2 linked regions of the Macaca mulatta genome follow. Each later gene encodes a partner of the first gene's protein in a complex. Links are inferred from orthologs where the notes say so. Each region holds a gene or a part of one and is shown in the gene's direction. Other genes may lie near its edges.

Region 1 (15,896 bases):
GAAGGCTGAGGTGGGACAATCACTTAAGCCCAGGAGTTTAAGACCAGCCTGGGCAACATAGCCAGACTCCCTCTCAATGGAGTTTAAAAAACAAACAAACAAACAAAAACAAAGGCAGCATAACAATGAACACTGCCTCCTTTCTGCCTTGTCAATCATGTTGAATGCTTTTCAATCTTAGCTGCAAAGAAGTCTGAGAAATGTAGATTTTATCTTTTTAGCCTCTGCAATAAAGAAAAGCACACTAGAAGGGTTTGGAATGATGGTAAGCACCAATCCACCTTATTCCCTAAGGAAGCCATGAAGGATGAGAAATAAAAGAGAAAACATAGACTTAACCTTTGTATACATTGAGTTTGAAATGGTTAAAACTGAATTCATTATCCCTCTACCCCCCAAACTATCTCCCCACTCTGAATTTCTAGTTTCCATTAAAGTTACCATTATTCTGTGAGTTACCTAGTATGAAAACCAGTGTCCTGTATTTACCTGGCATCCAAAAACTACTTCTCAGTAATAAAAGTGATATTTTCCACTACAAAAGTAGTTTGAAAATACATAACTAGGAAAGGCTCTTATCATCCCAGTTGCAACTCTTTGCACTGAAAATTATAAGGGTTAGCAAATTAAACTGTTCTGACAGAGCTACTAATATCACTTCTGTAACAATGATTGCCCACCTTTTTTTTCTGTTTCAAAAGACTTAAGGGAAACATTTTCTGAGTAACAATGGCTCACTATATCTCAGGCAAAGGAGTAGGAAACTCCATATTGTATGTCTGATAATCTCTGGAGTTGTGGTAGTACAATGTGCATTTTCTCCACTGAAAATGCTGCTTGTCTGGGTGTGGTGGCTAATGCCTATAAATCCCAGCGCTTTGGGAGGCCAAGGCAGATGGATCATTTAAGGTCAGGAGTTCGAGACTAGCCTGCCTGACCAACATGGTGAAACCTCGTATCTACTAAAAATACAAAAAATTAGCCAGGTGTGGTGGTGAGCACCTGTAGTCCCAGCTACTCAGGAGCTGAGGCAGGAGAATGGTGTGAATCCGGGGGGCAGAGGTGGCAATGAGCTGAGATCGTGCCACTGCACTCCAGCCTGGGCGACAGAGCAAGACTCAGTCTCAAAAAAAGAAAAGAAAAGAAAAAGAAAATGTGGCTTAATTCTATCAATAGTAATAAAAAATTTACTCATAATAAAGATGGTATTGGATTCACACCAGCCATTGATAAGCTATAAGCATTTCATGCAGTGGTTAAAATTAAAGCTGTATTCTTCAGGTATGAGTTATAAAAATAAATGCATGCAATTAAAATATCTTCGAAATATACTAACACAAATTATAATGCATATGGCAATAAATCATCAATAAATATTAAGTAAAACAAAGGTCAGAAATGTGGAAATACTAGAGCAGAGTTGGAGCCTCCTATTCAGACTTGATTGATTCAGTACTAATAAATGGATAGAAAAGTATTTTAGAGATCCTCAATTATTGTAAAAAAATGTGGATTTTTACTCAAATGACATTATAACATAGAGGACTCAATAGATCACTGACATTTTGGTTTATATGAGTTAACTGTTATACTTTACCCAAAGTCGTTAAGTTATATTTGCCATAAAACCTGATTTATAACAATGTTCTGTGACACAGATGCTACCGATGGCTGTAATATTGGGCTCCAATAGTTTAATAGTAACATGATTATTCTACAAGGCAACACAAGAATCATATGTCAACCAATAGTCACATATATCAGAAAAAAGGAAACTCCTGTCACAATGGAAGCTAATAATTCTCCAAACTAGAATCATATTTTTTATCTGGAAGCTATTCAGTAAATAAATGATATTGCAATCTACCTATAACCAACCCCTACTTCAACACAATCTTTCCCTTGGAAAAACTGTTTCTTGTTGATCTGAATGTATACAAATAGCTACAACAGGACAAATGCTATAAAAAAGAAATCATACAAACTGTGTTGGGAAAGCAGAAATGAGAGTAATAACCTTTTTTTGTGTCTGGGGGGAGGGTGAAGAAAGATTCAGGAAATTAGGAAATCTTCAGAATTAAGGATAGATTCAGCCTGGGTCTTGAAGGATGAGTAGGACATTACCATATAAACAAAGGGAAGGAGGGGCATCTAAGCAGAGTACAGTGACTGAAAAGGTATGAGGTGATAGGGAAGATCATAGGGTATTCAGGCAACTGAAAATAAATGAAATTACCAGAGCAAAGGGTATTTTGAGGAGTTATTATTTAAAAGGGCCCTGCTATGAAGGACCAGTGTGCCATGCTTGAGCCCATTGTTGGTATTCAATAAATATTCAATGTTCAATGAAAAAATTTTAAAAAGAAATCTCAAAAGCAATGAAAATCCATTAAAGTCTTTTCAGTAGGGGAGTATCTTGATTAGGCTGAATTTTAAATGAATTGGAGAAGAAAAAGAGTGGAAACTAGGAGACCACTTAAAAGCCTTTTGCAGCTCTTCAGACAATAAGTCATGTAGTCCATCGCCTCATTGTATGGGTGAGGAAGCTATGATACCAGAGAAGTCAAGTGGTTTGTTCAAGGTCTCAAGAGTCAATTAGTAGCAAAATTAGCTTCAGCCCTATGTCCAAACATATTTTCTACTGTATTTCCTTACCTACAAATTTATTATTCACTGCCTAAGACTTGAGATATCTGTAAGAGGATTTCCATTGTAATGGTGCAGTGGTACAATGATACTAGTAATTGCAGACAAGACTAACTGGTTAATATTGTTTAAGAAAGATTTTTGCATTTTGTAGTCTTTTTTAGGGAGATTCTTGGTATATTAAAAATGAATTTGATGCATAAATCAGTAGACCAAAGTAACTTACTGCATCTGATTAGCTGTTTTTAAATTGTTGCTTATTTTTTTAAAGGCAAAAAAACATAACCAAGTGTTTATTTGACAACAACAACAAAAACTCCTCTTTACATTTTTCTAGAGGTATTATTTTCTCTTGCCTATGAAACTTTCTGGCCATAAAGTCAGTATCTAATCACTGATGATCCCCAGCATTCTATCTTTCTCTATCCTTGCTGCTTCTTTTCATTTTTCAATTCTTAATCCTTCCTTTCACTTCCCCCCTGTATTACAACAACTAACAGCTGCCAAGAAAGTGGATTAGGTCATATATTCAATCAGGAGGTTTTCCCGTTACTCAAGTCACTTTCTTAGTATACTGAAACTAAAAAATAGTTATGGTTTTTGTCTCAAAAAATTAAGTTGGACTTATATTTTATTATTTGAAGGTTGGGTAGCAAGAAGCAGGTCTAAACTTATAAAAGCAAAGCAGTAATTTTGGATCTTCAACTCTCTATGTCTGTCTCTAGCTGTTTTCATTTTGATAATACATCTGAACACTCTCCTCTAACTTACTGATAATCAGTCTGTATTGTTCTACCTTACTTTGTAGACAATTTGGCATCTCATATCCCACTGCAGGATCAGTGGGACCCACACTGGTGGAGAAAATCATGCAGTCTCTCCATTAGGAAAGGAGAATCAGACTGAAGACTCCTGGCTTGCTCTGATTTCTAATAATAGGCTGGTCTCACTGGGCCCAGGCTGTTCTAAATCTAGAGTAGTTCTGAAATACTGAGTGTGAAATAGGCAATGGTAGAAATTCTTAGGACCCCTGTAAGACAAATCAAAATTCCTTCTAATATTCTTTTCTCCCATCATTTCCTGCACTGTGCTAGGGCAAATCCAATCTCTTAAGGGCCATTTCCTACATGCAACCATTGAGTGCACTTTGGCCCCAGTATAGCTTTATAAATCTCACTAGATAACTGTGGGAACTCCATCCATGAATCATAGTATCAATAGTATTCATGAACTCCATCCATGAATCAATGGTCTGCAGCTCAGAAAGCACAAAGAACAAAATAAAAGTTTGAAAACTTACAGCTTTCTCTGCCAGATATTGTTTGCCAAATATCTTAGACTCCTTTGTGTTGCTGTAACAGAATACCCACAGACTGGTAAATTATAATGAACAGAAATGTATTTGGCTCATGGTTCCGGAAGCTGGAAGCCAACATCTGATGAGGACCTTCACGCGGCATCATTCCATGGCAGAAGATAGAAGAGCAAGAGAGGGTGATAGCATGCCAGAAAGTGCCAAACTTGATTTTATAAAAAACCCACTTCCAGGCCAGATGCAATGGCTCACACCTGTAATCCCAGCACTTTGGGAGGTCACAGCAGGAGAATCGCTTGAGCCCAAGAGTTCGAGACCAACCTGGGCAACATAGGGAGATACTGTCTATACAAAAAATGAAAAAGTTAGCTAGGAGTGGTGGCACTTGCCCTGTAGTCCCAGCTACTTGGGAGGCTGATATGTGAGGATTGTTTGAGCCTGAGAGGTCAAGACTGCAGTGAGCTGTGATTGCATCAGTGTATTCCAGCCTGGGCAACACAGCAAGACCCTGCCTCTGAAAAAAGAGAAAGAAACCCACTCCCACAGCATTAATTCATTAATTCATTCTTGAGGGCAGATGCCTCATGACTTAATCCCCTTCTAAAGGTCCTATTTCTAAACACTGTTGCATTGGGGATTAAGTTTCTAACACACAAACTTTGGAGGATACATTTAAAACATAGTACTAAATATTCATTGTGAACTCATGTACTTGGAATACCTACTGGCAAAAATAAAAAAAGAAAAAAGAAAAAAATTCCATATTCCATGTTCCCATAACTGTGGTTTATATTTAGTGAAGCATCAAATGGGCATGAGATAGAACTATTTTTTTTATTTACACAAAACTTGGCCCTGAAATATTTAACCAACAGAAATAGTACTAATAAAATTATTCTATGAAGCAATTTTTAATGAAGCAGAGTTTATTCAAGTCATGTCTTCTGCAAATAAAAATGGACAGCAATAAACAAAAACAAAGGTAGAAAGAATAACTATGTTCTTGATGTCTCCCCTAAAGTTCACAATCTCTACACCTGTTTCTTTCATCTTCGGTGATGTTAATCTTCTGTTTATTTTGCTGCTTTAAATCTAAGCATATGTAGATTACCCAGAGATTGCTCTCTAAAAGTCAGATTACACCTGTTCTTTCTTACCTCACAAAAAGTAATGGAAAAAAAAGTGTGTGTGTGTGTGTGTGTGTGTGTGTGTGTGTCCTGTTGGTGGTTAAAAAGCAATTTGGGACTTCCTCTTTGAACAGTTGCCTTTTCCTCTCACACAAGGAGGATTTCATTTTGTTTGAGACGAGAAACCAAACCACACACCAAAGAGAGGGGTATGATGGCTAAGAAGCCCCCAAAACCAGCCCCTCGCAGGATCTTCCAGGAAAGGTTAAAGATTACTGCTCTACCTTTGTACTTTGAAGGTTTTTTGTTAGTCAAGCGGTCAGGATACCAGGTGAGTCTATACATGATAATGTTAAACCTAAGACTTCTCTTTTAATTTAATATTTATTTCATGGTGATGTGATGTGTTGAGACCCCCTTGTTTCTGTTGAAATTAAATCATCTTCTCTTCTTTGAGCTCAGAAATGATTCCAATTTTTCATAATTTAAATACAATGTCTGGCTTAAACCTGTATGTCTATGAATATATAATATGTATAATAACACAGGTTGTAATATTAAGGCACTAATATAAAAAATTCAATAAGCTAAATTTCCAAAGAATTCCAAAGAATTTAAATATCACAGAAGACTTTGGCTTGGGAGATAAAATGTTTCCTGTATTTTCTCCACAATTTATTGCTATGCTTCAATGATGAGATGTACCATTAAGATAAAATATCGCCGGGCGCGGTGGCTCAAGCCTGTAATCCCAGCACTTTGGGAGGCCGAGACGGGCGGATCACGAGGTCAGGAGATCGAGACCATCCTGGCTAACACGGTGAAACCCCGTCTCTACTAAAAAAATACAAAAAAAAAACTGGCCGGGCGAGGTGGCGGGCGCCTGTAGTCCCAGCTACTCCGGAGGCTGAGGCAGGAGAATGGTGTAAACCCGGGAGGCGGAGCTTGCAGTGAGCTGAGATCTGGCCACTGCACTCCAGCCCGGGCTACAGAGCAAGACTCCGTCTCAAAAAAAAAAAAAAAAAAAAAAAAAAGATAAAATATCATTATTGAAATTAAACCTGCTCCTGTTCTCAGTCATTTGAAGTTTATAATGATCAAATTATTAAAAATGGCTTTTGTAAAAATTGTTAAAATGACAAAGTTCGTACTGTTTAACATTATATAGTGTTATGTGTTCTAAAATACTATTCAAGATAGTGGCTTTTAATTTTTGGGGTACTACTGTGGATATTAAGTACACTAAGCTACACAAATACCTTTGCTCTAAGAAAATCCATGAAGCATTCTGTATTTTTGAATGTAATAATTAAAACTTATAGTTAGTTAAAATCATTACTTTTAAAATAGTAATTATGGATGACTTGAAATTAATTAGAGAAATGAGCCCAAAATTGCCTGTTATTAAAGAAAAAATCATTAACTTACGTCAAATTTTATGAAATTGTATATTGACTAAAACTAGAAAAACTTTAAGGTTTTCAGAAATTCCATCAGAAATGTTTAATGATGATAAAATATATTTTCTGAGGATTTATGAATACTTATGGAAAAATTATATATATGAAAAATCTGGGCCGGGCGCGGTGGCTCAAGCCTGTAATCCCAGCACTTTGGGAGGCCGAGACGGGCGGATCAGGAGGTCAGGAGATCGAGACCATCCTGGCTAACACGGTGAAACCCCGTCTCTACTAAAAAATACAAAAAACTAGCCGGGCGAGGTGGCGGGCGCCTGTAGTCCCAGCTACTCGGGAGGCTGAGGCAGGAGAATGGCGGGAACCCGGGAGGCGGAGCTTGCAGTGAGCTGAGATCCGGCCACAGCACTCCAGCCTGGGCGACAGAGCGAGACTCTGTCTCAAAAAAAAAAAAAAAAAAAAAAAAAAAAAAAAAAAAAGAAAAATCTGTAATAGCATATTCATATTTCTTACATATATAATCAGATCATTTACTATTTGAGAGTAAAGACATGGTAATTTGTATTCTGTTATGGATGTTAAACATGCATAAATAATTATCTTTCAGTTATACTAGAATATTTTCAGGTTGTTCCTACATGCTTTTAATGTAAATTTAATCTTGTCACCACAGGTAAGCCACATAGTCACACTTTGCCAGGAAAGGGAAGTTGAGAAAAAAAAAAAAAATCTAATTTGTAATTTAAATTTGGTTGTTCACTGAATGTTTTCCAAGGTGTTTGTAATAACTGTTTATGATAGCAGTTTTTTTTTAAATGCTTAAAGAAGGTATGTCATTGGTATGGTTAGCAGAAAGAATAAGAATTTTAGAGTGTCTTTATCTGATGGTTTTGCCACTTACTGCTCGTTATCTTGTGCAAGTTACTCAATCTCCTTGAGACTGTTTCTTCAACTATAAGATAGAGAGTACACTACTTGCTACTTGCCTCCTAAGGCACATTCTGGGACACAGTAGGTGTTCAAGCAATTTATTCACTCAGCATTTATTGTGTGCCTTCTATGCACCAAGCATCACTTTTATTTCTGGAGAATATGAAAAAAACACAAAGATTTTATTTTCAAGAGGCTTAATATAGTAGGAATGATGTCTTCCTTACTGAATTTCTACTCTTTACCTTCTCTTAGAAAGCATTATTTGAAGCAGAATGAATAACCATAGGCATAAATATTTCCAATGAAATTAACTTGTTTCTATTTGAATTTATAATAAAGTACCTGTGTGTGTGTGTGTGTGTGTGTGTGTGTGTGTGTGTGTGGCAGTGTCTCCTCTGTTGCCCAAGCTGGAGTGCTGTGGTGCAATCACTAGTCATGCAGCCTCAACATCCCCAGCTCTGGTGATTCTCCTGCCTCAGCCTCCTGAGTAGCTGGGACTACAAGTGCGTACCATACCCAGCTAATGTTGGTATTGTTTATAGAGACAGGGTTTCATCATGTTGTTCAGGTTGGTCTCAAACTCCTGGGCTCCAGCAATCTGCCCACCTTGGCCTCCCAACGTGCTAGAATTACAGGTGTGGGCCACTGAGTTAGGCTACAAAGTACCTTTTACTTGTATGTCAGGGAGAAGAGAGCAAGAGGATGACAATAATGCCTACTTATGTTGTGGTTTCAGGGATAGCATATGTAAAACACCTGGCTCACACTAAAGGTTAGATTCATTCTCTTACCCTTTCATCACTTACCATATTCTTATTCATGTGCTAAAATTAGTTTGAGGTCTACAATATGGCTCAAAGGAGAGTGAGCATGGTGATAATTAGAGTACTTGAAAATAGTAGCTATGAGAAAAATCTAAGGAAAATAAGTGGAATTTCCAAGCAATTGGCAGCAAAGTGCCAGGGAATCTTTGAACAGAAGGTGAGCCACAGGTATATAGCCAAGTAATCTTCGGAGCTGATTGGCTGGAGGAAGTTGAGAGGCTCTGCAGAATGTAAAGTTGGGTCTCTGCCAAAGTCATTTAGAACATTTAAACTAGAAAAAATATAACTGAAGAGTAACCTGGTCTATAAAGGCATTGAATGTTGAGAGGTGTTTCTTAGCCATTTTTTTTTGTGGGGCACTTTTAAGTATTTAAAGAGCTTTTCCCCAGGAAAATGTACCAACGTATACCATTTTGCATGCAATTCTAGAAGGTTTCTAAATCTGAGGTCAAGAACCCATGAAAAACACATAATCTTTATGGAAAAGATAATGTGGGAAGATTTATTTAAACCACATCACTATGATTCTGGATTAACCAGGAAGATGTATTTGATAATAAAAACTATTAAATGCCACAGTGGAATACCAATGGCCTCGCAGTTCTTACAAATGAGAAAATTGCTCATTTTTTATGGGACCGTTTGAAAATAAGACAGAGTTTGGGTGGGCCAGGCGCCATGGCTCATGCCTGTAATCCCAGCACTCTGGGAGGCCCAGGTGGGCAGATCACGAGGTCAGGAGATCGAGACCAACCTGGTCAACATGGTGAAACCCCGTCTCTACTAAAAATACAAAAATTAGCTGGGTGTGGTGGCACATGCCTGTGGTTCCAGCTACTAGGGAGGCTGAGGAAGAAGAATCACTTGAACCCGGGAGGCAGAGGTTGCAGTGAGCTGAGATGGCACCACTGCACTACAGTCTGGCAACAGAGCAAGACTCTGTCTTAAAAAAAAAAAAAAAAGAAAGAAAGAAAAGAAAGGAAGAAAAAAGAAAAAGAAAATAATAGAGAGTTTGGGCAATGTCTCGTAATTCCTTCAATCTGTGATGTGCTAAAATTAAAAAAAAAAAAAAAAAAAAAAATATGTGTGTGTTGACCAGGCGCGGTGGCTCACGCCTGTAATCCCAGAACTTTGGGAGGCTGAGGCGGGCGGATCACGAGGTCAAGAGACCGAGATCATCCTGGCTAACACGGTGAAACCCCATCTCTACTAAAAATACAAAAAAATTAGCTGGGCAAGGCGGCGGGAGCCTGTAGTCCCAGCTGCTGGGGAGGCTGAGGCAGGAGAATGGCGTGAACCTGGGAGGCGGAGCTTGCAGTGAGCCGAGATCGCGCCACTGCACTCCAGCCTGGACTACAGAGCGAGACTCGTCTCAAAACAACAACAAAAACAGTGTGTTTAATATGTCTTATTAACCTGAACATAAGCATGGGATCATCATAACTATATCAAAATCGTATTCCTCTAATCTACTCATCTCTAATTCATTTAGTGAAACTCCGTCTCTACTAAAAACACAAAAATTAACTGGGCGTGGTGGTACACGCCTGTAATCCCAGCTATTGGGAAGGCTGAGGCAGGAGAATCGCTTGAACCCGGGAGGCAGAGGTTGCAGTGAGCCAAGATCGTGCCACTGCACTCCAGCCTGGGTGACAGAGCGAAACTCCGTCTCGAAAAAAAAAAAAAGTAAATTTTTTAGGGCTGTCTAAGTTGTGCTCACAAACAGTTCTCTACGGCAGTAATCTCCGAATTTTAAAATAACACACTCCTTTCAGGGAAACATTTTGAGCACAGATCCTTAAAATAAGAATATTGATTCATTTAGAAATTATAAACATATATAGTCCCATACTATTACTCCATGTAAATTAAGATATATAAAAAATGAATTAAGAAACATAAAATATAATTAAATATTCTAAAATTTTCTCTCCCAATGGATCATCTTGCACACCTTTGGAATTTATGCATCCCATTTTGGAGACCACTGTACAACGTTCTTCCTTAGGTAAATGTACTTTATTTGCTCACAAAAAAAGAAAGAATGAGAGCTTTTTATTGGGGAGAGGGGAAGAGAAACTTAACTGGAGCTTGCATTGTAATTCATTTTTGCTAGTTAATTCATTTTTGCTAGTTATATTAATGAGAAAGGAGCACTGGGGAGGCAAGAGATAAAAGTATCAGTCCAATTCTAGAATTTGGGCTATTCCTTCACATTTTTAAATCTATTCCCTCCTTTCTGAAAAGAATAATTACTCTCTTGCATAGCTGAATAGGTTGCTCCAATGACTAAGTGGACTATATAATAATGAGTACAACCTTTTGAGGTATAACATACAATGGATACCATTCTAGGCTCTTAGTGTTCTGTCACTCTGATCCTTACAGTAACTCTTCTGGGTAGAAATTATTTTATTCACTTCACAAATGAGTGAGTAGGTGGGGCATGCTGGCTCATGCTTGTAATCTCAGCACTTATGAAGGCCAAGGCAGGAGGATTGCTTCAGGCCAGGAGTTGGAGATCAGCCTAGGCAACATAGCAAAACCCCATTTCTACAAAATCAAAAATTAGCCAGGTGTGGTGGCACACCCTGTATTCACAAATACTGGGGAGGCTGAAGTGGTAGGATCACTTGAGCCCTGGAGTTCGAGGCTGCAGTGAGCTATGATTGCACCACTGCACCCCAGCCTGAGCAACAGAGCGAGACCCTGTCTCTCTAAAACAACCCCAAATAAACAAATGAGTGAGTTCTGGCCACCGAGTTTATTCAAGGTTCCTCTTCCATTAAGGAGGCTAGCTTGGATTTGATTGTGATGCACTTGACTATGCTGCTTCTGAAACTCAAGTTCTAATTCCATTTGATTGTAGGTTTCCTAGTTAAGCTAGTGATAAATTCAGAAGTCTTATTTTAGTCTCTTCTCTTATGTCAGTAATTTAACACAAAACGATTGTTAAAAAAAAGAAGTTTGTGCTTCATTCCAAAGACATGTCCTTCCAAGTTAATTTTTTAAATTTTTAAGTATTTCTCTAGATATGAATAGGTACCTAGATGTTTTTTATTGAGATTGATATTTATAAATGACTCAGCTTATACGTGTATTTATTACATCTTATCAGAAATGAAATCAAGACTGTGACCTGTAAGTCTCTGCATACTGAATACCAGTTTGGTCTGTCCTTAGGTTTGCAGCTGTGTTTGCAGTCACAGAATCTAATGCTATTTGTAACCTTACTTTTCCTAAAGGGCTGCCTTTGCTTTCAACTCAGTGCTTTTATACTTGTTTTTCCTCCCATTTAATAAATCGTTAATCCTTTCCACAACTATGTATGTTTGCTTACCCATAAAACTCCCATTTTTCCCTATTTAACTCTACCCAATTCATATCGTTCTTTTGAGATTGAACACCTCTATAATTTTTTTCAGTAGTACAATGGAGGTCTGCATGTACATACAGAGGGAATTCAATAAACCTTTACTGGTTATCAGTAATGCTAGTTTTTATACCTTATGGCAGGGTAATACTGTACTTATAAGGCTGATTAGGAAGATGAACAGAGTGGTACGCTTTGACTTCAGGGTTTTCTCTTATATTTTTTTCCTCCAAGAATCATACAGTCCTGGAGGTGGACTAGACCTTAGAAGCCATACTTTAGTAAAATTACACAAATGACACTTTGGGAGGCTGAGGCGGGCGGATCATGTGAGGTCAGGAGTTCGAGACCAGCCTGGCTAACATGGTGAAATTGTCTCTATTAAAAACACAAAAATTAGCCAGGGATGGTGGTATGTGCCTGTAATCCCAGCTACTTGGGAGGCTGAGGTGGGAGAATGGCTTCAACTTGGGAGGCGGAGGTTTCAGTGGGCAGAGATCGAAATCACACCACTGCATTCCACCCTGGGCGACAGAAGACAGAAGGAGACTCCATCTCAAAACAAACAAACTACACAGATGATCAAGTTCTCAGAACAATATGCATTCTCTACATTCCCATCTCCTCCTGCACTCTTCCTCACCTGCTTCCTAGCTCCAAAAAACAGGATAGCCTTGATTTACTCCTTTCATTGCAGAGGTTTACCATTAACGCAGGGTGGGGAAGCCTTAAAAAGAGTTGGTCTGATAAGCAAAGAAACAAACCAACTTGCAAGACAAATTTTAATTGTTTTGTTATGTAATTATAAGTCAGATCTGAGAAAGTTCAAGTATTTTTTAATAGAGTGAAACAAACTAGTCACTCCCGTATGGTTTTTACAGAACGGCTGTCTGATCATAGTGCTCAAGCCAGATTTCTCAATGGATTCTTAAATCTCTTTATTTGAGAAAACACGAAAGGGTGATTTTACATAGGAATGACAACAGGTTTCATTATTCTGGTTTACAAAATATTTCCTCCTTCTCATACATATTGTCATTGAAAGAGACCTGTGTTAGAAATTTTTAGATACTGCTATCACACCCACACATACAAAGCACCACATGGAAGAAGTATTATGTGACTAATAAGCAAAGTTCTTACCAATAATGTGAGTGTTGAGGCAATGCTCTTCTTTTACTTTTCTTTTCTTTTTTAAAAGTGTCTAACATTTATTAAATACTTGCTATGTCCCAGGTCTTAGGTGCTTTACATACATACATTATTAGTCCATTCAATTATTTAACAACCCTATGGAGCAATAGCAGGAGGTGGGGTTGTGTTTATGGGGTACTCCTATTTTTGGTCCCTTAAAGTGAACTCTCATATAGGAGACACAATAATAATTATTATTATTCAATGTCTTTTGATATATTCACAAACTTATACAACCACCACCAGTATCTAATTTCACAACATTTTCATAATTTCAAAAAGAAGCTCCATAGGCAGTCACACCCACTTCTCTTCCCCCAAACCCAACTGCTTTTTTATTCTTTTTTTTTTTTTTTTTTTTTCGAGACAGAGTCTTGCTCTGTTGTCCAGGCTAGAGTGCAGTGGCACGATCTCTGCTCACTGCAACCTCCACCTCCTGGGTTCAAGAGAGCCTCCTGTCTCAGCCTCCCGAGTAGCTAGGATTATAGGTATCTACCACTACTCCGGCTAATTTTCATATTTTTATAGATACAGGGTTTCACCACGTTGGCAAGGCTGGCCTCAAACTCCTGACCTCAGGTGATCTGCCCACCTCAACCTCCCAAAGTGCTGGGATGATAGGCATGAGCCACTGCGCCTGGCTCTCTTCCCTCTCTTTCCATTTTTTATATACTCTTTTATTAGAATTTTTCTTCTCCCAAGTTTGAAGCCAGCCAGTCACAGAAATCACACAAATGAAGATCAGTTAGTTACTTTTATTATTGACAAATTATCAACGTGTAGTTTAGATTTAAGGCCAAAGCTGTGCTAATATGTTACTCTAGATTTGGATATCCTTGAGCTACATCAATTCACTGACTCAGATTAAGAACCACAAGCCTGAACCTCTTGGTGGCCCTTTACCACATGGCAGGGAACACAGCAGTATGCTCCCTCTCTCCTGGTAGACTGAGTTGAGAGAGAACAGGAAGGGGCTGAGTTGAGCTTGCTGCCTCCCAAACACACCTATTACATACTCAGTCCTACTCTCTGCAAAGGAGATAATTCACCCTGGCCGCACTGAGCAGAATAGATAAGAAAGTAGGCTGGACATGGTGGCTCATGCCTGTAATCCCAGCCCTTTGGGAGTTTGAAGTGGGCAGATCACTTGAGGTCAGGTGTTAGAGACCAGCCTGCCCAACATGGTGAAACTCCATCTCTACTAAAAATATAAAAATTAGCCGGGCATGATGGCACATGCCTGTAGTCCTAGCTACTGGGGAGGCTGAGGTAGGAGAATCGCTTGAACCCAGAGGGGAGCAGGTTGCAGTGAGCCAAGATCATGTCACTGCACTCTAGCCTGGGCAACAGAGTAAGTGAGACTTCCATCAAAAAATAAAATGAAATAAAAATAGAGTAGATTAATAGATTAGAAAGTATAAGAAGGTGGTAGAAAGACAGGTAAAGGGATACTGTTATAGCAATAACACTTTACATCCTATATAAAAAGAAGGAAAGAAAAGACTTTGGATGGGGTTGATATTAAGATGTGTTTTCTTGTCCTATTCAACTTCTTGACTCTGAGATGTGTCAGGTATATATTGGGCATCTCAATTTCAGACAAGAGAGAGAATCCCTTTGCCTAGTTTCATAACTGCTTCTTTGAGGACCATTTATTGGCTGATCCTCCAATCATATGCCCTTTTGAACTGTTCTTTTCAATGGTAATTTGTTCTTGGTTCAAGAGGCATCAGCAGGTTCATTACATGTTATAAGCAGTTCTCAACCTGGGGGAGGACAGAGTGAAAACACAGCAGGGCTTGAACAAAGATATATTGTCCCAAATTCCAATGTGCCCCTGAGGTTGACTGCTGCAGTCACACTACCAATTTGTTCAAGTCTTAACCGTATGTACCTCTCTTTGAAATATGACTTTTCTGCTCATCCTACAAAGAGGCTGAATCTATTTCTCTAATCTTTATTCTATTTTTTAAAAATTGAACTTATAGCAAACAATAAATTTCTACCCTTTGAATCTGGATTGGGTTATGTGACATGTGTTGGTAAATGTGACACAAGCAGAGGCTTAGAATAAGCTTGCCCATTGGGTTTTGCTCTCTCTTTTTCCTGGGAATCCTTTTGCCAGCCTGTGTCAAGTCTAGGCTAGCTGACTGGATAAGAGAGCAGATAGAGTGAGACTCCAGTGGTCCGTCTCTTCCCCGTCATTCCTGCCTTCCCAGCTAAGACCCTAGACAAGTAAGTGAGGCCACCTTAGACCATTCAGCCATAGCCAAGCAAGCCCAGAGCAGAAAGGTCATCAGCCAACCATAGAATGGTGAGAAAGAGAAATAATTTGCTTTATTTTAGTCCACTAAATTACAGGGTGACTTGTTACATGGGAGAAGCTAACTGATATACTATCTTATTAGCCATGAAGACAAAGAAAGAAAAGAATTCTACCAAAAACATAAGAAAAAAAAGGTGATTGTAGTTCAAAATGAATTTAATCTTGAGCTTCCTGGTAGCCAGGGAATTAAAAGCAAGATTGACTTATAGAGTTGTCACTATTTGAGAAAATAAGCATATAAATTCTGAAGAGCTGACAAACATACAAAATACCATAAAACACAAAATACCATAAAACAAAGTATCTTCACATGCACAATAAAAGAGAACCCTTTATATAACTTTCTTATATTAATCACCAATATATGTCATGATGGTTCAATAAGTTGTAAAACATCAGCTTATCAAACCATAAAGGAAGGAATGATTAACATGTTTATTAAAATAATTGGAATTTTTAAAAACACACTTTTGGAAAAAGTCACATATGAAGGTAAATCTTTAGATGTGAAAGGATTTTATTTTTAAAACTTACTTGTCATTCTTTTGTAATATAGTCACTCTTTGTATTTATTTAAATAAATTCACTTGAATGAAATGGGAGTTTGACTAGGTTATTTATGTACTTTAAACTTCAAAAGTCATATTTCTGTAGAATCCAGAGTAATATGAATGTATTAATAATTAAATATTCACCACATGAATAAGATTTGGATTTTAAAGTTCAGCTTTGATGGTGTTAAA
Region 2 (15,340 bases), on another chromosome or scaffold:
CCCAGACCCTTTGCTAATCCTGGCCTGTTCTTGCAGGTGCAAAGCGGTCAGAGAAAATCTACCAGCAGAGAAGTTTGTGAGTTGCCTCGATGTCCCTAGCCTGGTGTATTCACGTGCCCTGGGCATGGGCGTCCCCAAGGGAATTCCTGGCACCCCCGTCCTTCACCCCTTCACTCACACCTCCTCCGTGCCAGGCTCTAGCGGGTTCCTAGCCATCAGAGAAGGGAGAGGAAGTGCCCGGAGGCTGTTCAGGCCCTGCTGCATCTTGGGTTGTGGAGGGCTTTGAGAGGCGGGGATGCCTGGGCTGTGGGGCTAGCCACTCTTCAGTTTTCCTGTGAACCCCTCTAGAAGTCCAGGCATCTGGCCAGGCGCGATGGTTCACGCCTGTAATCCCAGCACTTTGGGAGACCGAGGCAGGTGGATCACCTGAGGTCAGGAGTTCGAGACCAGCCTGGCCAACGTGGTGAAACCCTGTCTCTACTAAAATACAAAAATTAGCCGGGCATGGTGGTGGGTGCCTGTACTCCCAGCTACTCTGGAGGCTGAGGCAGGAGTATCACTTGAACCCAGGAGACGGAGGTTGCAGAGAACTGAGATTGTGCCACTGCACTCTAGCCTGGGCGAAAAAGCGAGATTCCATCTCAGAAAAAAAAAAAAAAAAAGAAAAAGAAAAAAAGAAAAGAAAAAAAAAAGAAGTCCAGGCACCTGTGTCTTCAGCCTCCCTTTGACCCCAATCCCCCAGGGCTAGTCCGCTCTCCCCCTGCAATGCAAGAGACAGAGACCCCAGCACAGGGTGAAATGTGAACGTTGTTGGAGTCTCCCCTGGGAGAAGCTGCTGGAGCTCTGGGGAGGATGTGGGCAAGTCCCTTGGGGAACCAGGGAAGGACTGTGAGAAAGACCCAGGGAAGGGCAGTGGGTCCGACACTGCAGGCTAGGGCTAAAACCCAAAACAGCCTGGGTACATGGGCAGTAGCCACAGGTGTCCTTTAAGAGAATGACTTGCTGTGGGCCCAGGAGACCTTGGAGGTCCACGTGCACCCCCGAGCAGCCACTCATGACCCACACACGCACGCCACACATCCTTCCTCATTTCCTTTTGCAACTGAAAAACCACAGTGAGATTTGAAAATAGAATCTTCCCATCCTTGCTCAATGTGGGCCAGGGCTAGACCTTTCTGGGTCTTTCTGGCCACGTGGCTCTCTGGCCTGCCTGCAACCTCCCCCGATGCCCCCCACGCCCTTGACTCCTCGGACACTTCCCCCTCCCCTCTTCTCTCAGGACCTGCCCACCCCCGGCCCCCCGATTGATCTTAGAGCCACAGAGGGTCAGGGCCAGACTCAGGGTCTCCATGTGGGAGGTGGAAGGGGAGCTGTTCGGTCCCCTCCCTGGAATGCCTTTGCCTGCCTCTCCATCTGTCACCTCGGTTGGGCTCAGTCCCACCAGTCTGCATGAAGTGACTGCTGTGAGCACAGGCTCCGTTCCTCTGTTGCTTCTCCCAGGAAGCCACATCTGACTCTCTCCTGTGGATTTAGGGTATCTCTCCTAAATCAGGTCACCCTGAGCCCCAGTCTTCCAGGAGTTTGGAAGGCTGGGCCAGGTACCCATTCTGGTTCAGAGGAGGAGCCACCAAACCTGCTTTAATAATGAGCCAATCCACTCCATCACCTGTAATGGTGGCTTCCATTTTCAAGAGCAGCTCATGGTCCGAGATGGCAGCTGGGGCGCCGGCCCTCATCTCTGCATTCCCAGCAGCAGGAAGAAAGAATGAACAAGGATACAAAGGGTGTCTCCCAGTTGCCAGTGCCCCCCTTTAAAAAGATTTATTGGAAATATCAACAACCTTGGCTTGAATCTCATAGACCAGAGCTTAATCCATGGCCACACTTTGGTGCAAGGAAGGCTAGGAATAGTCTTATTTCTTTCTTTATTTATTTAGAGATGGAGTCACATTTACTCTGTTGTTCTGGCTGGAGTGCAGTAGAATGATCTTGGCTCACTGCAACCTCTACCTCCTGGCTTCAAGTGATTCTCCTGTCTCAGCCTCCCGAGTAGCTGGGAATGCAGGCATGCGCCACCATAACCAGCTAATTTATGTATTTTTAGTAGAGACGGGGTTTCCCCATGTTGGTCAGGCTGGTCTTGAACTCCCGACCTCAGGTGATCCACCTGCCTTGGCCTCCCAAAGCCCTGGGATTACAGGCGTGAGCCACCGCACCGGGCCTCGAGCGTGTGCTTTTTTAAGGAATTGCAAACACTCCTGGGACCAGCAGGTGGGAGGCAGCCTCTTTGTCACTCCTGGCTGAAATGTTTTACCCCAAGTCACTGCTGGATTCCTCATCACCTGCCTTCATTCACCCTCATGCCCCAGAATCTCAGGGCTGCCGCCTCAGCCCTGTCCACAGATCCCTCCTGACCCGTCTCCAGGGGCCTCGGACCCCCCGGCAGGATGTGGCCCTGTTGAGGCCACGTCAGGGATGGGTCTGGCTGAGAGCCGGGCTCTAGCCCAGGACCCTGTGTGAGGGGTGGGCACCCAGTGCACAGAGGGGCCAGAGAATGGGGGTAGCAGGGGGAGCTGTGAGGCCTGAAAGGACAGCGGTTCCTCCCCGCTGTCACCCTGGTCTGTCCCTCTGCTCTCCCTCCTCGTCCCTGCCTGTCCCTCTCTCCTGTCCCTGTGTCCTTGGACTGTGGGAGGCCAGGCCCAGGCTCAGCACAGCCCATGCATTTCCAGGCGTGAGGACCAACAGAGCTTCACAGGGTCCTGGACCTACTCCTGTGAGTCTCCAAGGGCCCCCGGGCTGGGCTCTGGGTTGGGGGTGTCCCTAGCAGGTTCTCTCGGTCCCCATTGCCGTAAGACCATGGCCAGGCCTGATGTGGGGGGATGATGGGGTGAGGGGGCTGGGCTAGCCTGGAGGCCCAGCCAACACCCCACTTCTTGCCCTTTGCAGTGGTCGGGCAGGCATGGCCAGGACCCCTGGAGGACACGGCACCCACAAGGTAGGTCACAGCCCCCCAGGAAGTGATAAGAAGGAAAGTCCTGTAGGTCCCTACCTGGTGAGCCCAGGTCAAGACCTCCCTCCCTCCCTGGGCCCCAGAGCTCCAGGGCTCAGCTATGAAGGCCCCACCAGGGGTATAGGGGATGTATCCTGGGGGGCATCTCCGCTACGGCCCCTCCTTCAACCCGCTCCTTCCCCCTCCCTGCAGGAAGGACAAGCTGTTGCAATTCTCCCCAGGCCTGGAGGGTGAGTGGCACAGGCAGGGACAGGGACAGGCCTAGCCAAGCTGGGACTAAGACAGGCGAACACCCCGTGGGCCAGGCGTCGTGCAGTGGGGGCTGTGGGGCCAGGCGAGACCTCCCCAGGAGAGACACACAGGCTGGGGCAGGGCGGGCTCCTGGAATCGGCCTGGCAGGGGGAGGGTGCACACTTGCACATGCCCCACTGAGGGGACAGGGAGCACTGCAAAGGCTCAGACACGGGAAATAGCTCGCCCTGCCTTGGGCTGTAGCGCCGAGCTGGGTGGAAAGCAGGGGCCAGGGGAGAGAGCAATGAGCTGGGCCTTTCTTCCAGATCCAGCATCTTGCAGGTACCAGAACTTCAGCAAAGGTAGGTGGGCTGCTGGGGAAAGGGGGAGGCCACAGTGGGGGCCACAGCCCATGGGCTCAGGCCTGATTCTCGCCTCCTCCCGCAGGAAGCAGACACGGGTCAGAGGAAGGCTACATGTGAGTGACCTTGGTCTTGTCCCCCTGCCTCACCTCTCCCCCTGCCCCACCTGCCTGCCACAGCCCTGGGCTTCCTGGTCCAGGAACCACCCTCTTGCACTAGAACAAGGCATCCAGGTTCCCCTCCTTCTCCTGACAGGCAGGCATTGGGTGACACTGTTGTCTCTCAGGTGACCCTGGCTTTGTGGGACCGGACTTGGCCCTGCTCTGGGACACAGGGTGTCGGGGTGGGGGATGGAGACTCATTCAGCATCACCCAGTCAAAGACAAGCTACAGGACACCCAGAACCCCTCCAGGGTGTTGCATCGTCTCACAGATGGGCAAACTACGGGGACTGGCCTAAGGTCACAAAGCAAGGTGGCTCAACAGGTGCGGTGGTTCATGCCTGCAATCCCGGGACTTTGGGAGGCTGAGGCAGGCAGACCACCTGAGGCCAGGGGTTCAAGACCAGCCTGGCCAACATGGTGAAACCCCGTCTCTACTAAAAATAATTAGCCAGGCATGGTGGTGCGTGCCTGTAATCCCAGCTACTTGGGAGGCTGAGGCAGGAGAATCGCTTGAACCTGGGAGGCTGAGGTTGCAGTGAGCCGAGATCATGCCATTGCACTCCAGCCTGGATGACAGAGACTCTGCCTCAAAAAAAAAAACAAAACACACACACAGAAAAAAGGTGGCTCCAACCAGGCGGCTGGCCACGCCCTCCAGCCCCCCGGTGGCTCAGGGGTCCCAGGAAGTGGGGGTGGAGGAATCAGAGAGGAGATCCTGGCAGACCCCCATGACGAGCAATGCTGGGAGCAGCCCTGGCCTCACCGTCCCCCTACAGAGCCCCCCAACTTGACCTCCAGCCTGCCCTGAAACCTGTGCTGTGTATGTTCTCTTGGCCAGAGACCCCATTGCCATGGAGTATTACAACTGGGGGCGGTTCCGGAAGCCCCCGGAAGGTGAGGTGAAGGACAAAGCCGGTGGTGGGGGAGGAAGTAGAGTGGGAGCTCGGGGCAGAAGCCACACCTCCAGCAGGAGAGGACGCTGGGCCTGGGTTCAGTTGAACTGGCAAAGCCGGCTGGGTGGATTGAAGGAGGCTGGTGCTGCAGGCAGGGGCCAAGGAGGGCTAGGGGGCAGGTGGGTCAGCGTGGGAGCTGTGGACACAGGCGTGGGAGAGAGGAGTGGGTCACAGGGGCAGGGAACTAGAGGGCTGGCTCGGGGAGGTCGGGGGAGGCCAGGTCCTTGTCAACGAGGACTGAGCATCTCCTCCTGAGCCCAGAAGGTACCCGGGACAGTGATCCCTGCAGGCTCTGAGGCCACCAGAACCTTGGTCCCTGAATGCCTTTGCTTTATAGAAAGGGCAACTGAGAGGCTGGGCACAGTAGCTCACGCCTGTAATCCCAGCACTTTGGGAGGCCAAGGTGGGTGGATCACCTGAGGTCAGGAGTTCAAGACCAGTGTGGCCAACATGCTGAAACCCAGTCTCTACAAAAATACAAAAAAAAAAAAAAAAATTAGCCGGGCATGGTGGTGCATGCCTGTAATCTCAGCTAGTCAGGAGGCTGAGACAAGAGAATCGCTTGAACCTGGGAGGCAGAAGCTGCAGTGAGCTAAAATCATGCTGTTGTACTCCAGCCTGGGCAACACAGCAAGACTCCATCTCAAAAAAAAAAAAAAAAACCAAAAAAAAAAAAAAAAGGGCAACTGAGGACTCAGGGTGGGAGGAGCCTGCTGAGAGGTGCATGGGCCCGGGGCTTGAATCCAGCTGCCTGACCTGGCTCCTGCCTGGACCATGCTGGGTAGGTGTTGGGGGTCCTCTTCTGCCCCCACCACTGCCACCTCCATTTTTTTTTTTTTTTTTTTGAGACAGAGCCTTGCTCTGTCACCCAGGCTGAGTGCAATGGCACGATCTTGGTACACTGCAACCTCCACCTCCCAGGTTCAAGCGATTCTCCTGCATCAGCCTCCCAAGTAGCTGGGATTACAGGCGCCCACCACCACGCCTGGCTCATTTTTTGTATTTCTGGTAGTGACGGGGTTTCACCGTATTGACCAGGCCGGTCTTCAACTCCTGATCTCAGGTGATCCGCTCGCCTCAGCCTCCCAAAGTGCTGGGATTACAGGCGTGAGCCACCCCACCAGGCCAGCACTGCTCAATTTCTTAGGACCCCAACATCACTGATGGATTTTGGGTGGGGCATCGGTCAGAGCCCAGCTTCCCCATTACAAGACCAAGATGGGGTGCCAGGCGCTGAGGTGCCACACTCAGCCTGGGTCCCCAAGCAAAGCGTCCCCAGCCTGCCCCGCCCTGTCTGGAAGAGTCCAGCCCCTCCCGGCAGTGGCTCTAGGGAAAGCTCCTGATTAGAGATGAGCCCTGAGGCTGCCCCTGCCTCCCTCCCTCCCTCCAGCCACCCATCATGGGCCTGAATTGCAACCTTCCCCCAGAGTACCTCCTCCCAAGTGCATTTGGAGGGGATCTCAGAAGACAGAGAAGGAGGCTGGACACAGTGACTCACGTCTGTAATCCCAGCATTTTGGGAAGATGGCCTAAGTTTAGGGGCTCGGGATCAGCCTGGGCAACACAGCGAGATCCTCTCTCTACAAAAAAATTTAAAAGTTAGCTGGGCACGGTGGTACGTGCCTGTAGTTCCAGCTACTCAGGAGGCTGAGGGGTAGGAGGATCGTTTGAGCCAGGAGTTGGAGGCTGCAGTGAGCTATAACTTTGCCAATGTCCTCCAGCCTGGGTGACAGAGCAGACACCATCTCAACAAGAAACAAAGAAGACAGAGAAGGAGCTCAGGGCTCAGGGAAAAGCCTACAGAGGCACCAGGCCAGCGCCCATTAGGAAGCTCATCCAGGAGAAGGCTTGAGGTCCCAGAGGACCCAGAGGGCTAGGGCTTGGCAGGAAAGGTCCCCTGCAAAGGGAAGGCAGGACAGAGGTGGAGGATGAGCCAGGCCTTGCAGGGCCTGCCCACACCCCCGTGCCTGCTCCTCTCTCTCCTACAGATGATGCCAATTCCTATGAGAATGTGCTCATTTGCAAGCAGAAAACCACAGAGCCAGGTGAGGTTGCCCAGCCAGGGGCAGGCTGGGGCCGGGAGCAGCAGGCCTCCTTGGCCCCTGCACTCCCCACTGCTCAAAGGCCGCCCCCACTTTGAAACCGAAGGCTCTCAGATCCCTGGGTACCTTTGGGTAGAGCCTTGCCCCTAGTATCCTCGGAGGAGGCTCTGTTGGCTCCTGGTGCCTCTGTGGGATGAGCCAAGGGGGGCCTATTCTCCCTCTCTGCAGTTGCCCAGCAGGACGGCACAGGTGGCCTCTGCAGAGGGGACCACATCCCGTCGCCGGCCCTGAAGACTGGCCCCACTTCTGGTCTCTGTCCCTCTGCCTCCCCGGAAGAAGATGAGGAATCCGAGGATTATCAGAACTCAGCATCCATCCATCAGTGGCGCGAGTCCAGGAGGGTCATGGGTAGGTGGCCAGAGGAGGATGCAGGGTGGCCCACTTAGGGCAGGCTTGAGGGACTGGCCTGGAAGCGCGGGCTGAAAGTGGGCTTCCCTCCAGCCAGTCCAGCTAACCCCGCAGTGATGCCTGGGTGCAGGGGCAGCTGCAGAGACCTTGAACCACACAGGACGGCCCTCGGCAGCCACCCAGCCTCTGGGGTGGGGTCAGGTCCTCCCGGGCAGGCCGCCCCGTCCAGCTGCATGCATAGAGTAACACGTTCACCTGCTCTCAGAGCAGGACGATCTTCGGCAAATCCCAGAGACGGGACAGACACACACTGCTAGGACCTGTCCGGCATGGCGTTTCCCGCAGGCTGTTTTGTGGAGTCTGGGGTCTGAGTCTGGGGGAATAGTTACGGGTGTCTCCACATGACCCACTCGATGACCTGTCTGCCCGCTGGTCCGCAGGGCAACTCCAGAGACAAGCCTCCCCTGGCCCGGTGGGAAGCCCAGACGAGGAGGAGGACGGGGAACCGGATTACGTGAACGGGGAGGTGGCGGCCACAGAAGCCTAGGGCAGACCAAGAAGAAAGGTACAGCCCCTGCTCTCCAGCTGCTGTAGGCCAAGGACTGGAGGTCTTGCCAGGCTGCAGGACCCCCAATCCAAGGGAACAGCCGAGAGTGTGGGTGGAGGGGCCATGGTGGGGGCTGCAGGATGCACCCATGGGTGCTCCAAGAGGGCAGCTTGGCGACTCTGTTCCTGTGTTCTGGCCAGGGGCATCAGGCAGGGAATTCTGGTGACTTCGGGGGCAAAGGATTAGGCACCGGGTGGGTCTCCCAACTCCACTGCATCCTCCTGGCTGCCACCTTGGACCAAGTGACAACCTCCCAGAAATTAGTTCCTCACATGATGCCTCCCTCTCAGACAAGACATCCCACACACAGCCGGGCGTGGTGGCTCACGCCTGTAATCCCAGCACTTTGGGAGGCCGAGGCAGGCGGATCACCTAAGGTCAGGAGTTTGAGACCAGCCTGGCCAACATGGTGAAACTTCATCTCTACTAAAAACACAAAAGATGAGCCGGGCATGGTGGTGGGCGCCTGTAGTCCCAGTTACTTGGGAGGCTGAGGCAGGAGAATCATTTGAACCCTGGAGGCGGAGGTTGCAGTGAGCAGAGATCGCACCACTGTACTCCACCCTGGGCGACAGAGCGAGACTCCGTCTCAATAAACAAATAAAAAAACAGACCAGACATCGCACACAAAGCCTCAGCCCAGCAGGCACTTGGTCACTGCTGGAAACAGACAGGAGGCGGGGACACTGGAAAATGTAACGGTGGTTGAGACGCACTGAGGAGCCACCGCAAGCCAGTGAGATGGAATGATGCTAAGTGTTCACACGTGTACCATCTCTTGGCACCCAAAGCCACAGAGCAGTGAAGCCACCTGCCCAAGGTCACATCTTGGAGTAAGGGGAGGAGGAGATGGAAGTCCCAGTGGTCAGACATCAGACATCAAAGCCCAGGCTGGGTCTACCGCTTGGGAAGCAGGATGGATCCCCAGAGGGCCTTGAAGGCCGCCCAGAGCCCCCACCTGGGAGACCCAGGCCGTCATCTCAGTGAACAGGCTGGAGGGTAGAAACCACATTGAACCCGGGCGGTCAAGACTCAGCCCCAGAAGCAGGTGCAGGAGTTTGAGCCGCGTGTGCAGAGCCCCACGTCATTCATTCAACCAGTATCCACTGGGCCCCTGCTATGGGCAAGTCCCGCTCTAGGTGCTGGGGACACCAACATAAAGAACAGGAAACCCCTGACCCCTTAGATCTTACGTTCTGGTGGAAGAGAGAAAACAGATAGGGCCGGACACAGTGGTCATGCCTATGAATCCTAGCACTTCGGGAGGCTGAGGTGGGAGGATCCTTTGAGCCTCTGAGTTTGAGGCCGGCCTGGGCAACATAGCAAGACCTCTGTTTCTACAAAAACTTTTTTTTTTTTTTTAATGAGACAGAGTATCACTGTCACTCAGGCTGGAGTGCAGTGGCATGATCTCGGCTCACTGCAACCTCTGCCTCCTGGGTTCAAGTGATTCTCGTGCCTCAGCCTTCCAAGTAGCTGGGATTACAGGCACGCGCCACTATGTCCAGCCTCTACAAAAACTTTTAAAATTAGCCAGGCATGGTGGTGGATGCCCCAGAGTCCCACTGACTTGTGAGGCTGAGGTGGGAAGATCACTTGAGCCTGGGAGGTCAAGGTTGCAATGAGCCACGGTTGCTGCAGTGAGCTGTGGTCGCGCCACTGCACTCAAGCCTGGGCAACAGAGCAAGACCCCATCTCAAAAAACAAAACAATTTAAAAATTAGCTGGGCATAGTGGTATGTGCCTGTAGTCCCAGCTACTTGGGAGGCTGAGGCAGGAGGATCACTTGAGCCCAGGAGTTCAAGGCTACAGTGAGCTATGATGGTACCACTGTACTCCAGCCAGGATGACAGAATGAGACCCTGTCAAAAAAAAAAAAAAAAAATAGAAAGAAAACAGGTAAGAAGACATGGCATGTTCACTGGTGGTAAGTCCGGCAGAGATAAACAAAACAGGGAAGCGGGGCAGGAAGTAGTGTGGGGCTGTGGGCACGATGGGGTGTTGCAATTTAAGGAAGGAGGCTAGAGAAGCCTTTCAGAGCTCCCTTCCTCACCCCATCTGGGGGAAGGGCATCCAGGCAGAGGGGACAACGGAGGCCCCAGGGTGGAATGAGCCCCACAGGTCTGAGCAAAGCCGGGGTGGGGAGGAGCAGGTGAGGGGAAGCTAGTGGAGGTCGAGGCCGGAGGTGGGGAGGCTGACCAGGCAGGGCCAGCACTTGGGGTTTTACTGCATGAGATGGGAAGGAGGGAGGGAGACAGAAAGGTTGTTTTTTTCTTTTTTTTTCATTCCTGTGGCCCAGGCTGGAGTGCAACGGCACAATCTCAGCTCACTGCAACCTCCACCTCCTGGGTTCAAGCGATTCTCCTGCCTCAGCCTCCCGAGTAGCTAGGATTACAGAGATCTGCCACCACGCCTGGCTAATTTTTTTGTATTTATTTTGTTTTTTGAGAAGGAGTCTCGCTCTGTCACCCAGGCTGGAGTGCAGTGGTGCGATCTCGGCTCACTGCAACCTCTGCTTCCTGGGTTCAGGTTTCTCCTGCCTCAGCCTCCCGAGTAGCTGGACTACAGGCACGTGCCACCACACCTGGCTAATTTTTTTTTTTTAGTAGAGATGGGGTTTCGCCATGTTGGTCAGGCTGGTCTCGAACTCCTGACCTCAGGGTCATTGGCCCACCTCAGCCTCCCAAAGTGCTGGGATTACAGGCGTAAGCCACCGCGCCCGGCCAATGGGAAGGTTTTGGACAAAAGACTGGCTGGATGTTTCTAATTCAATTTCTCTGGCTGTTGGGCAGACAAATGGGTACTGGGAGAGTGGGTACAGGAAGCCCAGGAAGGACCCAGGCACTGGTGCCATCTGGGCCAGGGGTGGCAGCAGTGGAGACAGGGGTGGGCAACATGGCGAAACGCTGTCTCCACATAATATACAAAAATTTGCCAGGTGTAGTGGTGCACACGTGTAGTCCCAGCTACTCGGAGGCTGAGGTGGGAGGATAGCTTGAGTCTAGGAGGTTGAGCTGCTGTGAGCTGCCCCAAACCAGTGGTTCTGGTTCTCAGGAACAAAATACGGATCAAGGCAAACCTCCTTCTACAAACTTTCCTCTTCATTTAAGGAGTCAAGGCGAAGAGGGACTATTGTGCTCATGGACCTGTCGCTGCTTTCCAAGGACCATTTCCCAGAGCTACTCAACTTTTAAGCCCCTGCCATGGTTGCTCCTGGAAGGAGAACCAGCCACCCTGAGGACCACATGGCCAGGCGCGCACAGCCCGGGAAAGGACAGTTACCCACAGGAGCTGCAGCCCTGCCACCAAGCCCTCTCCCAACCCAGGCTTTGTGGGGCAGGCACCTGGTACCGAGGGTAACCCGGCTCCTGGTATGGATGGATGCGTAGGATTTAGGATAAGCTGTCGCCCTGTCCCCATACCAAAACCATTGTCCAACACTGGTATCTGTGTCCTTTTGTGCTATGAATTTGGATTCCTAATTGCTATTGTTGGTTGCCGGGGTCTTAAAGGATTGATAAGCTTCTCCAGTTAACTTATAGAGGGGGAGCCATATTTAATATTCTGGATTTCAGAGTAGAGATTTCTGTGTTGTCTCCTAGAAAGCATTACATGTAGTTAATTTCAGCATCCTGGTTGGGCGGGGCCCTGGCTCTCTTCCCCTTTAGTGGGACCTCCCCTTTCTTTGGGCTTCAGTTCACTAAGGAAGAAATAAGGCTGTCGCCATCTTTATGCGCTTTCAGTGGAAATGTCATTTGCTATGGACAATAGTGCGTGAGAGTTTAGAGAAGCAGTGACCAGAACGGGGCAGAGTAGGTCTCCTCCATGGCCCAGAATCCTCCTCTGCTCCAGGGCTGGCCTCTGCAGAGCTGATTAGACAGTAATATGACTGTCTCATGGGAAGAGCAGGGGCCCAGAGGGACCTTCTGAGTCAGAAATGCTGCCAGAAAAAGTATCTCCTCCAACCAAAACATCTCAATAAAACCATTTTAGTTGAAAAGCAGTGATTATCCTGTGTCTCCTTTCCCCTGCTTCAGGTAAAAAACCTTTTATAAAAATACAAAAATGGAGCCGGGCGCGGTGGCTCAAGCCTGTAATCCCAGCACTTCTGGGAGGCCGAGATGGGTGGATCACGAGGTCAGGAGATCGAGACCATCCTGGCTAATACGGTGAAACACCGTTTCTACTAAAAAATACAAAAAACTAGCTGGGCGAGGTGGTGGGCGCCTGTAGTCCCAGCTACTCGGGAGGCTGAGGCAGGAGAATGGCATGAACCCGGTAGGCGGAGCTTGCAGTGAGCTGAGATCGCGCCACTGCACTCCAGCCTGGGCGACAGAGACTCCGTCTCAAAAACAAACAAACAAACAAACAAACAAAAATTAGCTGGGCATGGTGGTGCATGCCTGTAGTCTCAACTACCTGGGAGGCTGAGGAAGGAAAATAACTTGAACCCAGAAGGTTGCAGTGAACGGTGATTGCACCACTGCACTCCAGCCTGGGCGAAAGAGGGAGACCTTGTCTCCAAAAACATAACCAAATACAAAAAACCTTAAGGGAATGACGGCCACAGCTCCTGTTTAATAAAAAGGGACCCTGAGGGCGTCAGGCATGCGGATGGGATCTTAGTTCCCAAGTCCAGCCGTCTTTCTGGGATGGCCCAGGGACTCTTCCCATGAGAAGAAATTAATGCAACAAGTTAGGAAATCCGAAGAAACGTCTAGAACCCAACTGTTGCCCGCGTGTTACTTCACACCCTGAAGTCCTGCCTGCACAACCTCAGGGACAAGCTTCTCTTCCTTGTTTTTATAAGAGTCTCGCTCTGTCGCCCAGGCTGGAGTGCAGTGGCACTATCTTGCCTCACTACAATCTCTGCCTCCTGGGTTCAAACAATTCTCCTGCCTCAGCCTCCTGAGTAGCTGGGATTACAGGCATGTACCACCATGCCCAGGTAATTTCATGTTTTAGTAGAGACGGGATTTCTCTGTGTTGGCCAGGCTGGCCTTGAACCCCGATCTCATGTGATCCGCCGGCCTTGGCCTCCCAAAGTGCTGGGATTACAGGCGTGAGCCACTGTGCCCAAACGGGCCGGGTATGGTGGCTAACACCTGTAATGCCAGCACTTTGGGAGGCTGAGGTGGGAGGATTACTTGAGACCAGGAGTTTGTGACCAGTCCCAGCAATATAGCAAGACCCTATTTCTACAAAAAATTAAAAATTAGCTGAGCATCGTGATGCATGCCTGTAGTCCCAGCTACTCGGAAGGCTGAGGTGGGAGGATCACTTGAGGACAGGAGTTTGAGATCAGTCCCAGCAATAGAGCGAGACCCCATTTCCACAAAAAATTTAAAAATTAGCTGGGCATCATGGTGCATGCTTGTAGTCCCAGCTACTTGGGAGGCTGAGGTAGGAGGATCACTTAAGCCCAGGAGGTTGAGGCTGCAGTGAGCCAGGATTGGCCCACTACACTCTAGCCTGGGCAACAGAGCAAGACCCTATCTTAAAAATAAAATAAATAAAAAAAAACGGAAACAAAATAGCATCTTACCAAAAAAAAAAAAAAAAAAAAGGTAATTCTACAAATTAGTAGGAAATTCCCCGGGGAATTCTAAAGCAAGCACAAAGGCAAGCACAAAGAGTATGGTCTAGAACACAGGAAGGGCGTCACGGTGTTTTCCTGAGGGCTGGGCTGCGTCTCTCCACTCTGCGGCCCTCTCTGAGAGGCTCGCCACCTGGCCATTCTGAGAAGTCAGTCTAAATAGGAAATGACAGCAAACCCTGCCCTCGCCCTGGGGAAGTGGCCCCTTCAGGCTTCTAGAAGAACCGAGATGAGCTTGTGGGCCTACTATCTAATCGCCTTTTCTACTTGTAGGCTGCCAAGGCCAGTAGAGACAGGAAGCTGGTTTTCCTCGAGGCTTCACGTGGTCACCTTATTGCCAACAAACACTGCAAGGCTTTATTAGCTAAAATGTCAACCCACACACAGATCAGAGACCACCCTCAGCTCCTCTGTGCCTTTCCGCCCCGTACCACATCAGTGGGGCGGAGGCTGAACGCAAACACTCGTGAGGCACAGATGTCCCAGAAGCAATCATGAAAGCCACAGGAGTTTATTTATTTAATTTTTTTTACCCCCCAGACAGAGTCTCTCTCTGTCACCCAGGCTGGAGTGCAATGGTATGATCTTGGCTCACTGCAACCTCCACCTCCTGGGTTCAAGCGATTCTCCTGCCACAGCCTCCCAAGTAGCTGGTGCCTGCCACCACACCCAGCTAAGTTTTATATTTTTAGTAGAGACAGTGTTTCCCCATGTTGGCCAGGCTGGTATCGAACTCCTGACCTCAGGTGATCCACCTGCCTCGGTCTCCCAAAGTGCTGGAACTACAGGTGTGAGCCACCGCGCCTGGCCAGCCACTGGAGTTTAAACGGCAGTCATGCTGGCTCCAGCCTAAGGCGGCATTTTCCCCCATCAGAAAGCCACAGCTCCTGTACCTCAGGATAGGGCTCCTGTAAGTCAGTCAGCGAAGTCTCTGCTCTAACTGGCCACCGGGGCCATTGTCTTCTGACACAGCCTGGCCAGGAGGCCTGCCATCTGCAAAAGGGAGTTCACTCCTTCTGCTATTTTCATGTGAGTGTATCCAATTTCCTGAAAAACAAACCAAATTCAAATCTGGTTAGTAAGTGGGGGAGTTCTTTTTTAAAATCTGAACTGAAAAAATAAAAATAAAAACAGAAACAAACTGAACTAATGGTTTGTTCAAAATCAGCATGAGGAATTCCAACTCCAGCCGGAAAATGAATGCTAAGATGCGATAGATTATGTTTACCTAAAGTTCAATTTATTTCTTAAAAGGATGCTGACAGTTCTTTCAAAGATACTGTTAAGAAAATGGGTGGGCGGGGCGGGGGGGCAGCACGGAAAGCCAGGCTAGAGGAAAATATTAATATATCTGATAAAGAACTTGCATCCAGACTATAAAGAATTCTCAAAAATTCAGTAATAAAGGCCGGGTGCGGTGGCTCGTGACTGTAATCCCAGCACTCTGGGAGGCCACGGTGGGTGCATCACGAGGCCAGGAGTTGAGATCAGCCTGATCAACATGGTGAAACCCCATCTCTACTAAAATCAGCCAGGCATGGTGGCGCATGCCTGTAATTCCAGCTACTCAGGAGGCTGAGGCAGGAGAATCACTTGAACCTGAGAGGCGGAGGTTGCAGTGAGCTGAGATAGCACCACTGAACTCCAGCCTGGGCGACAGAGCAAGACTCCATCTCAAAAATAAATAAGTAAATAAATAAATTCAGTAATAAAAAACAAACAACCCAATTAAAAAATGGGTAGATTTAGACCTGGAGCAGTAGCTCACACCTGTAATCCCAGCACTCTGGGAGGCTAAGGCAGGAGGATCACTAGCCCAGGGTTGGAGATCAGCCTGGACAACAGAGCAACACCCAAACTCTACAAAAAAAAAGAAAATAAAAACGATCTAAGCGTAGTGGCACACACCTGTAGTCCCAGCTACTTGGGAGCCTGAAGTGGGAGGATTGCTTGAGCCTGGAAGGTTG

Evidence for each region.
Region 2: the proteins of STAP1 (region 1) and LAT2 are in contact, whole or in part, in a crystal structure (PDB 3MAZ), measured with the Homo sapiens proteins. The link is inferred for Macaca mulatta from reciprocal best matches to the Homo sapiens genes STAP1 and LAT2. Residues at the interface, in NP_001304698.1 of Homo sapiens: Arg184, Arg203, Pro204, Gly205, Ser206, Ser212, Ile215, Gln217, Ile219, Lys225, His226, Tyr227, Lys228, Glu239, Leu240, Glu241, Tyr255, Phe256, Glu259, Thr260, Arg261, Asn263, Leu264; in NP_054865.2 of Homo sapiens: Asn134, Ser135, Tyr136, Glu137, Asn138, Val139, Leu140, Ile141, Lys143.

Annotation. Positions count from the first base shown.
Region 1 is NC_133410.1:65,915,522-65,931,417, reverse strand, and holds the start of STAP1 (signal-transducing adaptor protein 1), read left to right. Parts: upstream 1-5,186; 5' UTR 5,187-5,299; coding exon 5,300-5,419; intron 5,420-15,896. UniProt on the Homo sapiens protein: In BCR signaling, appears to function as a docking protein acting downstream of TEC and participates in a positive feedback loop by increasing the activity of TEC.
Region 2 is NC_133408.1:51,728,672-51,744,011, forward strand, and holds the end of LAT2 (linker for activation of T-cells family member 2 precursor), read left to right. Parts: intron 1-36; coding exon 37-76; exon of another isoform or gene 77-124; coding exon of another isoform or gene 125-187; intron 188-2,729; coding exon 2,730-2,773; intron 2,774-2,918; coding exon of another isoform or gene 2,919-2,946; coding exon 2,947-2,995; intron 2,996-3,202; coding exon 3,203-3,240; intron 3,241-3,534; coding exon of another isoform or gene 3,535-3,567; coding exon 3,568-3,603; coding exon of another isoform or gene 3,604-3,637; intron 3,638-3,688; coding exon 3,689-3,719; intron 3,720-4,605; coding exon 4,606-4,661; intron 4,662-6,708; coding exon 6,709-6,765; intron 6,766-6,990; coding exon 6,991-7,170; intron 7,171-7,610; coding exon 7,611-7,717; 3' UTR 7,718-7,735; intron 7,736-10,887; 3' UTR 10,888-11,537; downstream 11,538-15,340. Other genes in the region: RFC2 (replication factor C subunit 2), read right to left, coding at 14,310-14,420. UniProt on the Homo sapiens protein: Involved in FCER1 (high affinity immunoglobulin epsilon receptor)-mediated signaling in mast cells.